Linked DNA regions of Daphnia pulex. The protein of the gene in region 1 purifies or fractionates together with the protein of each later gene. This does not show direct contact. Links are inferred from orthologs where the notes say so. Each region holds a gene or a part of one and is shown on either strand. Other genes may lie near its edges.

Evidence for each region. Proteins that work in one complex are often made in the same cells at the same time.
Region 2: the proteins of putative pre-mRNA-splicing factor ATP-dependent RNA helicase PRP1 (region 1) and RNA-binding protein cabeza-like purify together in Homo sapiens (affinity purification with mass spectrometry; 4 studies listed by BioGRID and IntAct, with this or other methods). This does not show direct contact. The link is inferred for Daphnia pulex from reciprocal best matches to the Homo sapiens genes DHX15 and FUS.
Region 3: the proteins of putative pre-mRNA-splicing factor ATP-dependent RNA helicase PRP1 (region 1) and calcium homeostasis endoplasmic reticulum protein-like purify together in Homo sapiens (co-immunoprecipitation; 3 studies listed by BioGRID and IntAct, with this or other methods). This does not show direct contact. The link is inferred for Daphnia pulex from reciprocal best matches to the Homo sapiens genes DHX15 and CHERP.
Region 4: the proteins of putative pre-mRNA-splicing factor ATP-dependent RNA helicase PRP1 (region 1) and splicing factor 3B subunit 6-like fractionate together in Homo sapiens (co-fractionation; 3 studies listed by BioGRID and IntAct, with this or other methods). This does not show direct contact. The link is inferred for Daphnia pulex from reciprocal best matches to the Homo sapiens genes DHX15 and SF3B6.

The regions. Positions count from the first base shown.
Region 1 is NC_060017.1:1,846,454-1,850,752, reverse strand, and holds the start of putative pre-mRNA-splicing factor ATP-dependent RNA helicase PRP1, read left to right. Parts: upstream 1-1,431; 5' UTR 1,432-1,557; coding exon 1,558-1,604; intron 1,605-1,785; coding exon 1,786-1,827; intron 1,828-1,940; coding exon 1,941-2,048; intron 2,049-2,111; coding exon 2,112-2,252; intron 2,253-2,315; coding exon 2,316-2,390; intron 2,391-2,451; coding exon 2,452-2,556; intron 2,557-2,619; coding exon 2,620-2,998; intron 2,999-3,078; coding exon 3,079-3,333; intron 3,334-3,397; coding exon 3,398-3,656; intron 3,657-3,715; coding exon 3,716-3,907; intron 3,908-4,261; coding exon 4,262-4,299. Other genes in the region: quinone oxidoreductase-like, read right to left, coding at 47-79.
Region 2 is NC_060020.1:5,621,295-5,625,671, reverse strand, and holds the start of RNA-binding protein cabeza-like, read right to left. Parts: upstream 2,840-4,377; 5' UTR 2,745-2,839; coding exon 2,732-2,744; intron 2,513-2,731; coding exon 2,273-2,512; intron 2,208-2,272; coding exon 2,091-2,207; intron 2,029-2,090; coding exon 1,959-2,028; intron 1,291-1,958; coding exon 1,256-1,290; intron 510-1,255; coding exon 379-509; intron 313-378; coding exon 183-312; intron 119-182; coding exon 1-118. Other genes in the region: DNA repair protein RAD51 homolog 4-like, read left to right, coding at 3,129-3,391, 3,467-3,665, 3,730-3,898, 4,014-4,330. UniProt on the Homo sapiens protein: DNA/RNA-binding protein that plays a role in various cellular processes such as transcription regulation, RNA splicing, RNA transport, DNA repair and damage response. Binds to ssRNA containing the consensus sequence 5'-AGGUAA-3'.
Region 3 is NC_060023.1:8,902,404-8,906,640, forward strand, and holds calcium homeostasis endoplasmic reticulum protein-like, read left to right. Parts: upstream 1-1,398; 5' UTR 1,399-1,512; coding exon 1,513-1,537; intron 1,538-1,599; coding exon 1,600-2,039; intron 2,040-2,097; coding exon 2,098-2,389; intron 2,390-2,456; coding exon 2,457-3,204; intron 3,205-3,287; coding exon 3,288-3,707; intron 3,708-3,778; coding exon 3,779-3,923; intron 3,924-3,988; coding exon 3,989-4,153; 3' UTR 4,154-4,208; downstream 4,209-4,237. Other genes in the region: uncharacterized protein LOC124197929, read right to left, coding at 1-42; TELO2-interacting protein 1 homolog, read right to left, coding at 4,222-4,237. UniProt on the Homo sapiens protein: Involved in calcium homeostasis, growth and proliferation.
Region 4 is NC_060019.1:12,853,487-12,856,027, reverse strand, and holds splicing factor 3B subunit 6-like, read left to right. Parts: upstream 1-1,270; 5' UTR 1,271-1,400; coding exon 1,401-1,430; intron 1,431-1,544; coding exon 1,545-1,663; intron 1,664-1,720; coding exon 1,721-1,940; 3' UTR 1,941-2,002; downstream 2,003-2,541. Other genes in the region: pantothenate kinase 3-like, read right to left, coding at 1-156, 225-398, 466-656, 718-817; dolichyldiphosphatase 1-like, read right to left, coding at 2,234-2,363, 2,426-2,541.

The sequences.
Region 1 (4,299 bases):
TTAATGTTCATAATCTCTACATGATTTTGTCCATTTTTCTGTATACCCTAGTTAATACAAAGAAGTTTCTCGAGTTCATTGACACATATTTAGTTAAGGGCTCGGTCGAAAGTTCGTTGCATCTTTCATTTTACAGTTTACCTTCACTGGATAATTTACAGTTTACCTTCACTGGATAACTGCTTGCTGGCTTTCTCTTATCTAATCAAGCAGCACCTCTAGTTTTATTCAATAAGATATCTGTTAATAACATCAACAAGTTCAGACGACATAGAGGGCGAAGGCTCCCAATTCAAAAAATGTCCGATCGCAATTTTTGCAAATCATAAACAGAAATGCAAATAAAAAAAGTAGTCTTTGGTCTCTTTAGAAGGAAAATATTAAATCAAAATGCGATGCTCTAGATACTGAGAGCGCGTAACGGAAATCGGGTTTCTTTGGAAATATTTTCTCCCGAAGTACGGGCACTTTTTCGGCCATTGAAATCAAGTTATTTAACAGCACACACGAAATTTCCAATTATTTTGTTAAGTAATATTACAGATTTTTAGCTATAGCGATAAAATTAACGGTAACAAAAAATTGTCTTACGGATTTTCAAAGGGAATTGTAACAGGGAAACGTAAACTGGACGGACGTAGGACGGAAGACCTGTTAATTCCTCGGCGGCAGGTAGCGATGTGAATGTCGGGAGCACCGAGAAAGAAGAAATAGGACATCAAATTTCCTAGCCTTTCTTTTTTTCTTTACTGCTATGTGTTCCGCTCAGTTCACGATTTCATGCCCGTTCTCTGCGTTCTACTTTCTCTCTACAACTTCCCTACTAATAAAGAACAATTTAAATTGAATTATTCCGGGAAGCATCAATGCATTTAAACAATAGCTTCTCCCCATATAGATTTTTATTTTCTATTTTTTCCTAGGCCTAATTTCATTAGACCAAACACATGATTAATAGAAATAAGACAAATTGAGTCCTTCAATGCGTATTGGATATTCAAACTAATTTATTTGAAATGAATTCAAAGTTTTTTATAATAAGGACGTCGTCAATGCTGAATTCTCGTGGAATATATAAACATAACGGTACTGAACGGAGGAAATATTCCGAATTGAGAAATCAACAACTTTTTCATTTAGGCTAACTTGTAACTTTCTAACCACCAAAACGAGGCAACCATGAAATTGTGATCGAGCAGTAAAATAATTACTATACTATTCAATTAGCAAATACCATATAGCTAGGGTCTGAAACGAATTAGAAGCAAAGCCATATACATTTATAGATCAGCGCCGCGCATAAAAATACGGCATCTGTAGACGAGTTATTGTCAACTTAAATTGTGGCAATAAACCAGTAGTTCCGCAGTTCGCCGCTTATTGGCTATGTGCCATCTAGCGATTTGAAATGAAACGCGTGCTTCCTTTGAATTTCACAAGTAGCGTCTGCAAGTGTGGAAATTGGTGGCCGAAGTTCCTGTCTGTGCTGTTGGAAAACGTGTATCCACGTCCTGTTCGTTTTTAAATATCGTAAAATAGATATTTTCACCTCTTATTATGTCGAAAAGACGCATAGAAGTTGATGACAAGCTCAGCAAGAAATCGTAAGTAAAATGCAATTATTCAAATTAGACAAATAAACCCGCGATTGTGTCATTTGTAATGCACATGAGCATGCTGTAGTGAAACATGTCGTGGTCGATAAGATTGTTAATGATTTTTCAAAAAACCATCATTCTTTTTTTAAATTATTATGCAATAAAATTAATTTGTTTTACTTTACAGCCGGGCAACTGGTGACAAAGGGAGTGAAGCAGATAAAGAAAAGTAAGCTTCTATTGTTATAAATATTTTTCTAAATTCATTTTCACTTTTTGATTTACAAATTCCCATATTAGTGTCTTAAGATTAAAATAATGCTTTGTCTTATTACTTTACAGAAATGTAACTGATTCTAAACCTGGTGGTTCATCTGCATCAATTCCAGTAACACCATCAAAGCCAGGGTTGACATTAAATCCCCTTACAGGATTGCCCTATACACAAAAGTACATCATAAATATTATTTTTTTTTAAACACTCGTTGATAATGATCATTTATATTGTTTTAGATACTATGACATTTATCGAAAGCGCATTGGCCTTCCAGTTTGGGAATACAGGGAGAAATTTTTTGAGCTTCTAGAAAACAACCAGGCAATAGTTTTAGTTGGAGAAACTGGATCGGGAAAAACTACTCAAATTCCTCAATGGTTAGGAAATATATTTAGTTTATCGTAGAGCAGTTTGTTGATAATTTGCTATTATTGTGACAGGTCGGCTGAGTTTGCGCGAAAACTAGGAGTTAAAAAAGGAGTCGCTTGTACTCAACCACGTCGAGTTGCTGCTATGTAATATTTTAAGTCAAATAGTTAATTTTCTCTTAATATAAAACCGTTTTTTTTTTGTAAGGTCTGTGGCTCAACGTGTAGCTGATGAAATGGACGTCGTTCTTGGTCAAGAAGTGGGTTACAGTATCCGTTTCGAAGACTGTTCTTCCCCCAAAACCGTACTCAAGTATGTTCTTTTGAGTAAAACGTTTTATTCGATCAAAACTATTCCCTATTTCATTTTTTAAAGGTACATGACAGACGGTATGTTGTTGCGTGAAGCCATGTCAGATCCACTGTTAGACTCGTATCAGCTAGTTTTATTGGACGAAGCTCACGAGCGTACACTTGCTACTGACATTCTTATGGGTGTTTTAAAGGAAGTCATTAAGCAAAGGCGTGATCTAAAGTTAATTATCATGTCTGCCACGCTTGACGCGGGAAAGTTTCAATCTTATTTTGATAACGCACCATTGATGAACGTGCCCGGTCGGACGCATCCTGTGGAGATCTTTTACACCCCAGAACCCGAGCGTGACTATCTTGAAGCAGCCATACGCACAGTCATGCAAATTCACATGTGTGAAGATATTGTCGGTGATGTTCTTCTCTTCCTCACTGGTCAAGAGGTTAGCTTTATATATTTGTAAAATTTGATTGAATTTCTCAGATTTCTCTGAACATGTTTATCTTATTCATGTACACATAGGAAATCGATGAAGCTTGCAAAAGGTTGAAACGTGAAATCGACAACCTTGGTCCTGAAGTGGGAGAAATGAAGTGTATTCCTTTGTACTCCACATTGCCACCAAATTTGCAACAGAGGATTTTTGAGGCTGCTCCCCCAGTTAGACCAAATGGAGCCATCGGTCGTAAAGTGGTTATTAGTACCAACATCGCCGAGACCTCGCTTACTATTGATGGTGTTGTTTTTGTTATTGACCCTGGTTTTGCCAAACAAAAGGTAACATTTAGGAATTTTCAAATGTGAGTTACATGGTTCAAATTTGTGGAATTGCTGTTTTCAGGTTTACAATCCTCGCATTCGCGTCGAGTCTTTACTCGTTTCTCCTATCAGCAAAGCATCAGCTCAGCAACGTGCTGGGCGTGCCGGGCGTACGCGACCAGGAAAATGTTTTCGTCTTTACACAGAAAAAGCCTACAAACAAGAGATGCAAGACAACACATATCCTGAAATTCTTCGCTCCAACTTGGGATCAGTCGTCATTAATCTTAAAAAATTAGGCATCGACGACCTTGTTCATTTTGATTTCATGGACCCTCCAGGTACCATATCAACATTTAAATAAATAAACCGCATGCTGATTTTTTTTTTTATTTTACAGCTCCCGAGACTTTGATGAGAGCTCTAGAGTTGCTGAATTATCTCGGTGCTTTAGACGACGATGGTAACATGACCGAGTTGGGAGCAATTATGGCTGAATTTCCCCTTGATCCTCAATTGGCCAAAATGTTGATTGCTTCTACGGAATTCAACTGCTCCAATGAGATCCTTTCGATTACGGCTATGCTTTCCGGTAAGCTTCACCTAACTTCTATTTCGGTTGATTTGGTTGTCTTTGTGTGGGATCTGAAAAATAGCTAGGGTGATTTGCCACGTTTTGCCTTTGTAGTTTAATCTAAAAGTTCTTACTTGTTATGGCAAAACGGCTAATCAACTGGTTTAAAAGGTGTGCTTTCTTTGAGAGCACAGATCATAGTAGAAACGATAGGCTGTTCTATTGTATCCTGTTAATAGGTGAACAGAACTAAACATGAAGGCGGGACGCGCGGGCTTCCCATTTTTTGGTCTCCTTGAAAAATGTGGGGCCCCACTTCCGTCTCTTTCTCTTTTTGTCTCCTCCCATTTTTTCCGCAACGTCTGAATGCAGTCCCACAAGTTTTTATGCGTCCACTGGAAGCCAAAAAG
Region 2 (4,377 bases), on another chromosome or scaffold:
AATCCGCCGCCTCCGCGTGCGCCACCCCCGCCACGACCTCCACGGAAGCCTCCAGGGAAGTTGTTTTTCCTCGTAGCCATAGAGACTTTCAGCACTGGTCCGTTATTAAATGGCTGGCCTGTAATACAAATTTAAAAAATGGCTAAGAAAGAAAACACATCATAATAATACAAGTTACGAACCATGGAACCACTGGATTGCAGCATTAGCGGCGCTAGGATCGTCGTAGGTGATTGTTGCTTCTCCTTTGGGAGCGCCAGTGTCACGATCTTTGAACAACCAGATTTTAGGTTTGCCAGTTTTCTTGTCAATCTATCGAGACAAAAGAATAAAAATTATCAAAATGAAAAATGTTGATTTGGATGTTTTAATAAATACTTTTATAACACCAATCGAACCAAAAAAGGTTTCGATCTCGGTCTCGGTCACACTTTCAGGAAGACCCGAAACAAACACGCTGTCGTCCATAACAATACGGTCATCAGCAACGGCTCCTGGTGCAGCTCCACCTTGTCAACGAAACATACATTAAAGATTAAATGCAGGTACTCACAATTGAAATAAACGGCGGCAGGAAGCAAGTCCCACAGTTGGGTTAGGATGTGCTAAATACTATAGTCGGACCGTTCACCAAACTTTCCATGAGTAAATTTAACCTTTAGCCGATTTCTCTCCCCACTTTTTCACTTCCTTTGTTCTTACCCTTTACAGGACCAGTTTCAATTGACCTGTTCACGTTACAGATACACCCATAGGTTTTCTGGACTCATTTCTTTAAACCACTCACACACCATTTTTGTTGGGGATTCTTTACACACAACCATTTGGAATTTTTTAAAGAAAAAACCACCAATTTCTGGTGGAAATAAGTTTTTTTACCCAACACACCACTTAAAGACTAGAACCACACGTTCGGCCTCTTTCGGGGTTTAAATTCATGGAAAGTGGCTGACAATTGACTGAAATACCGTAGCATACAAAGGTAACATTCTCCAGGTATATCACTGTACACGCAGAAAGTCTGAAACTCTTTTATCAAAGAGTACAGAAATTCTGTACCGTAGATTCGTAAATATGCACAAGGAGATTTGATAAGAATAAAGATGGAGATAGAGTATTTTGCTTGATACTTGCACCAACAGGAATGCCATTTGGATGTCGAAGATTTTTCACCACCACAACGGCAAGATTGTGACAAACCGTACCAGAAGTAGACACAGTAAGAAAGGCATCGTTAGATGAACCTTTGAATTACCTTTGGGAAACCCGTCTCTGCTTCCAGCGTTATGACTGCAATAGCCAGAAAGATACATTTTGCTATACCCTGTCTTTGACACCAAATTGGCTAAGATGCATTTGCCATCTTGCTTTCAAATTATTATGGAACACAATATGATATAACTTATGCAAATAATACTATTCAAAAAATTCGAAATTTACTACAAATAAGAATAATTAAAAAAAAAACATGAAGTAAAACAAATCAAACAATAACAAATTACCAAAACACCATGTTCAGATTATGCAATATGAAAAAAATTACTACTTTCTTTTAAATAACCAATGTTGGGTGCACTTGGCACAGTATAACCGTTGTAAACTGTTACATGTGATGGTCACATACCAAACTCCGCGTATTTAAAAATGGATAAATTTCTTTACCATCAATCCGAAACGACCACATTAAGATATTCATGTTTTTTACTTGAATCACAACACTGTTTTTTGCTCCACCGAAGTGAAAACCGTGAGTACCCGTTTGTTAAACCCGAATGACTTTGAGCATACTAAGTTTTTACGTAATACCAAAACATTGTTTTAAAGATACCATTGGACCCAAACTTTCGTATTCTTGAACGCAATTTGAAATTTCCCTTTTACTGGTTGTAACCTTTAATCAAACTGTACACTTAATTTTTCTACACTATCTTAACAGCTATTTGAATAACAAAACTCACCTGAATCCTCCCCCTCCTCCACTTCGATCACCTCTATCGCCGCCGTAACCACCTCCGCCGCCACCACCACCTGATATGATAACATAAAGTTAAATTTGCTAAATAAAATAGGCTAGGACAAAGTATGATTACCGCCATAAGCTGCTGATCCACCATATGATCCTGCATTGTCATAACTTGATCCACCACCACCACCGCCTCCATAAGCTGTCTGTTCGCCATAGGCACTATAACCAGCACTGCTGCTTCCTGTAGTAAAATTGTATGTGTTGATCAAAATGTTAGAAATGACGAAATGTTAGAAGTTAACAAACCTGACGGATATGCAGTGGATGGTGCACCACCAGCACCACCTTGTTGAGTGCTGTAGCCGCCAACTGGGCCATCACCGCCAGAATACCCAGAGTATGGTGCTGCGCTTTGACCTTGGTTTCCCCATCCACCGCTTACAGGGGCACCAGAAGGAGGACCTCCATAGGCAGGTGCAGCCTGATCGTAACTGCTGTAGCCACCATAGGCACCACCACCACCACCTCCTCCAGAATATCCATATTCTGTAAATATGAAATAAGATTACTATGAGTCCTTTTTATAGATGGGATATTGATTCCCAGACAAGCTTGGGCCACAACATGGTAAAGACAGGGTTATAAATTGACGTACGTGTAACTCTAAACAAACAGTTTTCGGACTGCCAATAACATCATCATTTCGCTAAATTTATTGTCGAATCAATTTAGATGTCAACTTAACAATTAAAAAATGAAACTTACGATTGTCTCCCATGGTTTTGTTACAATAACGTCAGAACGAGATGACTATAGAAAATGCCGACTCTCCCTGTTCCGGTTAAGCTTGGGTAATGGGCGCTACAGAGCTGCCTAATCGTGGAAATAGTAAAGATTCAAATATTAAAAAAAAATTATTTTTATTTTAGTTTACTTGTTTATAATATGCTTGAAATATTCCTGAATTAAGTTCAAACATTAAATATGCAATAATCTGGTCTTTATCTGCGCTAATTCAATGACTTTTTAGCAGCTTTTCAGTTAAAGCTAAAGTGTTAATTGAAACTATTGGCAACTCCTTTGACATTCTCCATTTTTCAAACTTGAGCAGACTTAAATTTGTTTTTGATCGTTTTGTTTGTTTTGCTTTCTTTTTTATTTCATGAATCTTTTATCGGAAAGTGTCAGTCCCTTACTGACAAAAGAAAAACTAGAATTACTGAAATCCCATAAAATTTTAACTACTCTTGATTTTGTGCAGTACAACAATGACAAAATGGCTAAATTGATTGTTCAAAATGTCAGTGAAATTATCAAAATCAAAGATAAAATCTTAGCTTCCAACAACAGCAAACCCATGAGAGGAGACAAACTGTATGACATGATGTTGAAGAGAACAGTTGTTATTCATAGTGGAATTGAGATGTAAGAAGTTTTCTAAATAATTGTATGCAATTGTCTATACATAATAATTCCCCCAAATTTTGTTCTATAAGATAGTGTTGATCGAATGTTCCATGGAGGAATTCCAAGTGGGAGACTGGTAGAAGTTTATGGAGATTCTGGTTCTGGAAAGACTCAATTAGCCTTACACTTGACAGCAAATACTGCTCTAAAGTTACAGTATGAAGTCTGTTACATCACTACTGGTGATGCAAATCCTAAGCGAATCCTAGATATCATGCAAAATTTAGACAAAGTTTGCAGCACAAATTGTGGTTATTTTGTTGAGTTTGGCAAATGACAGAGGTTTCTTTCTTTAGGATGGTGATTATGTGAAGAGTTTAGAAAGGATTACATTCTGCCACATACATGATGTCTATCAACTGTTGGAACTGCTGTGGACTCCAGAAATGAAAAGATACAAACTTGTCATCATTGACAGTCTAGCCACTTTATTCTTACCCATACGTGGGGACGCATTTAACGACTGTATGTACATAAAAATGACTTATCATCAGTTAATTAAACCCTCGAGTGCCGAAAACATATAAGGCATGGACACCTTTGAGACTTAATCCAACTTTATGTTTTGTTTTTATTGCAGCCATCAGTTTACTGAACAAAGTGGCCAGTGATTTGAAACGACTGGCTGTGGTGCATCAATGTGTCGTTCTTGTTGTCAATCACGTCTCCAGGTGGTCACGGGAAGGAACAACGGAAGCGCAAGGAGCAACTTTGCCGACGCCATTCCTCGGCCGTTACTGGTGCAGTGTACCTTCCTTGAGGCTGTACAGCAAACACCTGAGCAACAACCAATTCGAATTAACTGTCGTGAAAAACGTTTATAGTGCTGAACCCGGTCCCAAATGTTCCTTTAGTTACTTTTTTGGAAACGGAGATACTCACCACGGGCAAGTCTAATTTCTGATGATCGTATTACACTGTAACCAGTCCTTGTGTGCTGATAC
Region 3 (4,237 bases), on another chromosome or scaffold:
CATGAATTTAGTCTCGTCGTTCAATTCCGCTTTGACTGACATGGTCGTCCGAGCGGAATCCGAGCCTTCCCGGCAGCCAATGTGGCACAACGCATGCCTCGTCTCACGATTCAGCTATCGTCTGCCAGACTCGCATCTCATTCCTCTCACTCCGCAACGTCGGAATACGAAGTTGATTGAAGGTCAACTTTTTTTCAAAAAAGGGCTCGTGTTTTGGCATATGAATCAAACACAACACCCAACCATCTCGGCGCCATTCGACGAGCTACTGGACCTCCCTCCGGATCTCTGAAAATCGAGTGGAAGAAATAAAATGTTGTTTTGAATGATTTGGATCAAATTGAAACGAAAGAGCACTTTACACAATCAGTCAAAAATATTTTGGGTTATTTCATTTCCACTTGAACAAATACACTTATTTCGATTCACACACAATCTGTCGAATTCTTTCCAACGCCAACGACTTTTTTCCTCCAATTATTTTAATATTAGAACAAGGAAGAAGATTTTGTATGCGGCCGATTTGCTCACGACCCGATCGCCGACTAACTTTGCCCACGAAAAACTGGCAAATTTGTTTGTTTTTAGTTTGAATTTTTCTTTTTCCTACACGACGCGCTTCTCATTTTCTTTCTGGTCTGGTGTTCGCCCTTTTTTTCGCAGTTGCTTCCAAATATTTTAAAACTTGGCTCAAGTTGGATGCAGTGTGCTACTATTTTGGGCGCCATACACACACACTCGCATACACACACACACACACACACACACTGCTGATGTATATTATTGGCATTCGCAGCCGCCCACTCAAGCTATTATGTTACCCGAACGGTCGAGAACGGAAATAGGAAGAAGAACAGGCGAAAAAAATGGTCTTCCACTGGTCATCATTGCCCCGAAACACTGTCATATTAAAAAAGAGGTAGTTCATCTGGGACAAAGAGTTATGATATTTGGTGTGTCTTTTGTTGCGACACATCGTTCGATTGGGACCCTGCCAAGAACGCATTTTGAAATAGCGAAGAAAAAGCGAACTGTCCGTTTGAGAGTTGATGTATCTATTCATGTGTGCTACTGCTGTAATTGTTGGTTGACCGATTACTTTGCGTGTGATGACACGACCTGCAGCGCGAGAGAGAGAGTCAGACTCCCCCCCAGCGAGACGAGGAAAGAGATTGGAACTTAACGCGTCAACACATCATATCAACCTTTAATTATGTGGAAAACGAGTTTGAATTACAAAGAAGCATATACTCATAAATATGGAAAGCTGCATTCGATGTATACAAACAAGAAATTTTTCCCCAATTGAAATTCTTGTCACACGTTAGGGAATTTACTATTCGCACCGAACTTCACGCCATCTAGTTTAGCAAAAACGCACCGTTTACTAGACTCTGGCGGAATTCAACACGAACTATTAATGCCGGCATCGAAACAATTCACAGTTGCATATGTATGTGTGTTTTTGATTGCCTAAAGTTTAATTAAAGTTTTAAAACATAAAACTCTGCAATGGATCTACCTCGTCCTCCCGAAGGTAATAACCGTTTAAATTGAAAAATCTCCTCATCAATTTGTTCACAACAAATATTTTTATAGACATAGAACTGCGCAACATTATTGACAAGTTAGCTCAATTTGTGGCGAGAAATGGTCCCGAATTTGAGCAAATGACGAAAAACAAACAACGAGATAACCCCAAGTTTGGTTTCCTGTTTGGTGGGGAACTTTTCAACTACTACCAGTACCGTGTGACAACAGAGCAAGCAATTAACAAGCAAAAGTTTGTCCGAGAGCAAAGTCAACCCATGAGCTATCCAATCAACTATGGCCCACCGCCTAATACAGAACATCCCAGTTTCAATAGGAATTACAACTATGGCCCTTCTTCTGCATGGCCTAGGGCTCACCCACAGCCATCAATGCCCAATCAGATGTCATTTCCTGGACAAAATCCCATCCCTCCTCAAACAGATTTGATTGCTTTAAAAGGTGCAAAAGATGTACTCGTTGCCCAACAAACTCAACTGCAGGAACAGGTAAACATACTCCAGATCATATCAAAAATAGTAAATACTAATTGGTTTGGTTCACCAGATCAAACAAAGTGAAAGCAACTTGGCCGCTCAACATCAAGTGACAGTGCAACAGCAGAAAAAGCAGACAGAGGAAACAGTCAAGTTGCAACACGAAAAAGAAGTCATGGAAAAAGCGTTGGCAAGTGGAATGAATTTGGCAGAGTTAGAATTGCTTTTACTGCCTATCATGGATTCTTGCACCAAAGAATCCATATCTCAGGGTAAAGCTTGGATTCTCCATCATGTGATGCAGCCTCATTCATCCTCTGATGCCATAGCACAATATCTCCTTTTCAAAACAACTCAAAGCAGTAAGTTTTCCTCTGTTGTGGCTACTTGGCATTGCCTGAGCATTTTTTTTTCTTTCTGAATCAACAGGTCAATTTACCCACAAACTTCACTTGATCTATTTGGTCAACGACGTGTTACACCATTGTCTCCGCAAAGGACCCGACACGCTTTTAAAGACACTCGAACAAGTTGTCGTCCACATGTTTTCAAACACTAGTCTGTCTGCAACCGACGAGGAGCAAAACGCCAAATTGCAAAAACTGGTCGTTTTGTGGCAAACGAAAAATAATTTGTTTGAGCGTGGTGTCCTGGAAAGGTTACACGCACCTTTACACATCTGGAATGAATACCACAACAGTCTAGTGGCCAAATACTCGGCAGCCGTAGCAGCTTCAACTAGCAACATTCAGCATACGTACGAAAACTACCGCGGCCAGCATCAAGCCTTCGTCAATCATGCCAACCACCAGATTCAGCAGCTAGAGCAACAGAAACTGCAAATTGAAGAACAAATCGCGGCGGCCAATGCTTTGCAGTCTTTTAATGCACCTCATCACGCCATGCCGCCGGATTTCTTATCTCGCCCGCCGCCAGTTGCTTCCCTTAATGCCCCGCAAAACTACCCGTGTGAAGGAATTGAACCAAAGGCTCCCTACTTCGACTTACCAGCGGGATTACTCGTCCCACTGGTGAGAATGGAAGACAGCGAGTACAAAAGCATCGATCCGAAAGATATCCGCCTTCCTGCACCGCTCCCACCGTCTGAGCGATTGATTGCCGCCATTGATTTCTTCTACAGTCCTCTCTCGCACGACCGACCACGAAACGCAGATGGGTTCGTGATAGATTTCCTTTCTTGTTGGCTTATCATTCAAGCTTCTTCTTCTCAACTTTTCTCTTTCTTGTTTTTTTTTTTAGGTGGGAGCAGATGGCTCTTTTCGAGTTTTATAAGAACAAGGCAACTGCGAAAAAGAAGAAAGAAGAAGATATTGCTCAGGGATTACGCGACATGTCGCCGCCTCGAACTCCTATCGAAGTTGTCGAGGATCATTCCCCTGAAAGAAGTGGTAAGAATGGAATCAGAAGTCCCGTGCGTCGAAGATTCCGCAGTGAGTCGCCCGAGGAAGAGCATAGAGAAGAATCGAGGCAAGCTCGATCACGATCCAGATCGCCTAGAAATTCAACAAGACGTCGCCGAAGTCGATCTAATTCAGAGTCGCCCCGTCGAGCTGCACGCTCTCGTTCTCCTACACCTAGTCGTTCGGAATCAAGATCTAATTCGCCCGTCACGATGACCGGTTTTGCGCAAAAGCGGAGCCCCACGCCACCTTCAGAAATGTAACCAACCCCTTTTTTTTCCTTAAGTTAGGTCAATGTGATTTGGTTAAATTTGATTCGGCGTTTTGCAGTGCATCCGTGTCGTTTGCCAAAGGTTTCACGACAAAGCTGGACGAAAACAACCGAGGGCATCAACTCTTGTGCAAAATGGGTTGGGGAGGAGCTGGACTCGGCGCAAATGAACAAGGCATAGCGGAACCCATCAAAGGAGGAGAGGTATTGATCGAACGGTACTATTTTTGTGTCAACAGAATAGCGGATTGATATTTTTCGTTCTTCAGGTTCGCGATCGTTTGGACCAGTTCAAAGGTGTCGGTATCAATATACGTGATCCTTTTGAAAATTTCCGAAAAAGCAAAGGTCAGGCGTTCATCACGAGAATGCGCTCAAGGGCCGAAGAACGAGAAAAAGAAAAGGGCGGACCTGACGATCCTCCAACTCCATGAGAATTCACTCACTCTACTTTTGCTTAACTCACGAAATACAGTCGATTCGTCTATACCTTGATATCCGTTTAATGGTGACCTGAA
Region 4 (2,541 bases), on another chromosome or scaffold:
TGGGTTCTTGAAGTCATATGTTTTTTTTACGCACTTAGTTTCGTCAGTTGGATTTTCCCAATAATAAACCTCGGGACGATGAATTTCTTCAATGTACAAGAGCCCACCGATAAGGGATTCCAGTTCGTCCGATTTATGTAGATTTAAATTAACAGCCTACAGACAACCGTATAACAAGATAAGAAAAAAGAAAAAGAAATCAAAGCTGCATAAAGTGTACAAACCCTTAAAAAGTCTTTTTCAAACTTGTATGCACCTCCACCTGTGGCACAAATGGTTGTGGACAGAGAGGCAAATCCTTTAGATTTTGCTAGCTGCAGAAATTGCTCCATTTCAGAGGTAGGAAATCTGATGAAATGTAATGTTCCTACTCTGTTTCCCATTGGAATTGAACTCATCTGAAATTTGAAAATTATACTGAAATCAATTTCTGATAAAATAGGAAAGATTAGAAGATGTAAACACCTGCAGATGAATGTCTCGGTGCCCTGTCTCTCCATAAGCATTGTTACTAGTGAGATACTTTTGAATGTTGTGTAAGGTTTCAATTTCTGACGAACTTACATTCTCTTCCTCAGGAGCAATGTCAGTTGGTTCAAAATACACTAATTTAACTAAAGTTCCACCTATATCCATTCCAAACCAGGGCATGCTAGCTGTAGAATAAAAATAATTGTTTATTATCACAACTAATTGATTAAAAATAACAATACTTACGAGAATGAACAACTGTGGAACTTGAATCATGGCCATTTGTTACCCTGTTTTCTACACTATCCATTGTGCGACCATATTGTGTTTCGTGATCAGAAGACATCTGTTAATGTGCAGAATTTCAATGTGCTTTCTTTAGTTATATCCCAGCAATTCTTTATTGTATGCACAGCACCGGATGAAGCTTAAAAATCCCTTTATTTAATTGATATCGGAAGTAGCGAATCAGTTCAGTTTACGCGACTCGAATAGTGGCCATCTGCATCATATCTTGATATTCGAACCAATAGAAAAAGGAATTCGGGTCGTACGATGTGGAAACTTTTCCCCTTTCCTTTTCTCTTATTTGAGTATGCTATTCCTCATTTGACACAAATTCGTCTGCTAAAACATCAGCATTGCCAAAATATTAAAATGTGAAGAGTAAATTGAGCTAGGAAAAGATTTTTATGAGATATATATACATTTTTTTAGTATTTAATTTGAATCAAATTTTCTAGTGCATAAAACCAATTAATTGAATTACACGAAAATAATGTTTTGTTTATTCTGTCAGCTCAGAATCGTCGTCTGCTATGCAGCCATTTTGAATACCAAGCGGCGTTCTTATTGTCAAGTTCACGAGCACAGTTTTGAATTGTATTGATCAGTGATTTCGTTGTTTTAACTGAATTTTACTCCTAACAATGGCGATGGCAATGCAGAAAAAGCTAAACGTATGCAATCATGTGTTAATTTTTTTTTATCATTAGTAGTTTATTATATTGAGTCAAGATTGTTGTGCATCAAGATTTCCATGTGAGCATTTCTTAAATATTTTTATTTTTCAGGTGAGGTTACCTCCTGAAGTAAACAGAATCCTATATGTCCGAAATCTTCCCTATAAAATTACATCAGAAGAAATGTATGATATCTTTGGAAAATACGGAGCTATTCGGCAAATCAGAGTGTAAGTAGAAATTGATAATATATGTTAGCATCAATTGTAACTCATTTGATTTGATAGAGGGAACACTCCAGAAACCAGAGGAACAGCTTTTGTGGTCTATGAAGACATTTTTGATGCAAAAAATGCTTGTGATCATCTTTCTGGTTTTAATGTCTGCAATCGTTACCTTGTAGTACTCTATTATCAACCTACAAAGGCCTTCAAAAAGGTTGACACAGACAAGAAGAAAGAAGAGATAGAAAGCATGAAGGCTAAATTTGGATTGAATGATGAATAACATGTAAATTGACCTCATTTCTCATTGTACAATTTGGTATAATAAAAAAACCATTTTCACTATGTGAATTGTAACCAGTATTGACCCTTTTCCAACCAGTGTAATTGTGAGGTATTCCATTGTAATGGAATATCAAATATGATTTGCACGAGTTATTACAACTCAAAAATGTTTTTTCTAAAAAGAATATTCACGAAATATCCGGCTTTCAAGAATAACAGATTTGTAGGCACAGTAAACAGACAAACAATTGCACTGCAGCTACTGAACACAAAATTATTTTCAAGCCAGTTTTACTGGGACTTCATGGAGACCAATTTTCGACTTCTGTGCTTTGATTCGCTCCGGTGAGATGTATATTCAAACCAGATAATGTTAGGGATTAATGTTTGATCTCTCACCAATAGCCATTCACACACTCTCCTAAGAAATAACAATGAATATTGCATGTTATCGGCATGGAAACACTTTTGAGGAAAACTAACCATGATGCAACAGTTGGGAACCACGGCGTTAGAGCGAATTGCGTAAATAAGAACCACGAAACTGCTAAAACAGATCCAAGTAATCCCCCTACTATTACTTGGGAAGCAGTGTGGTA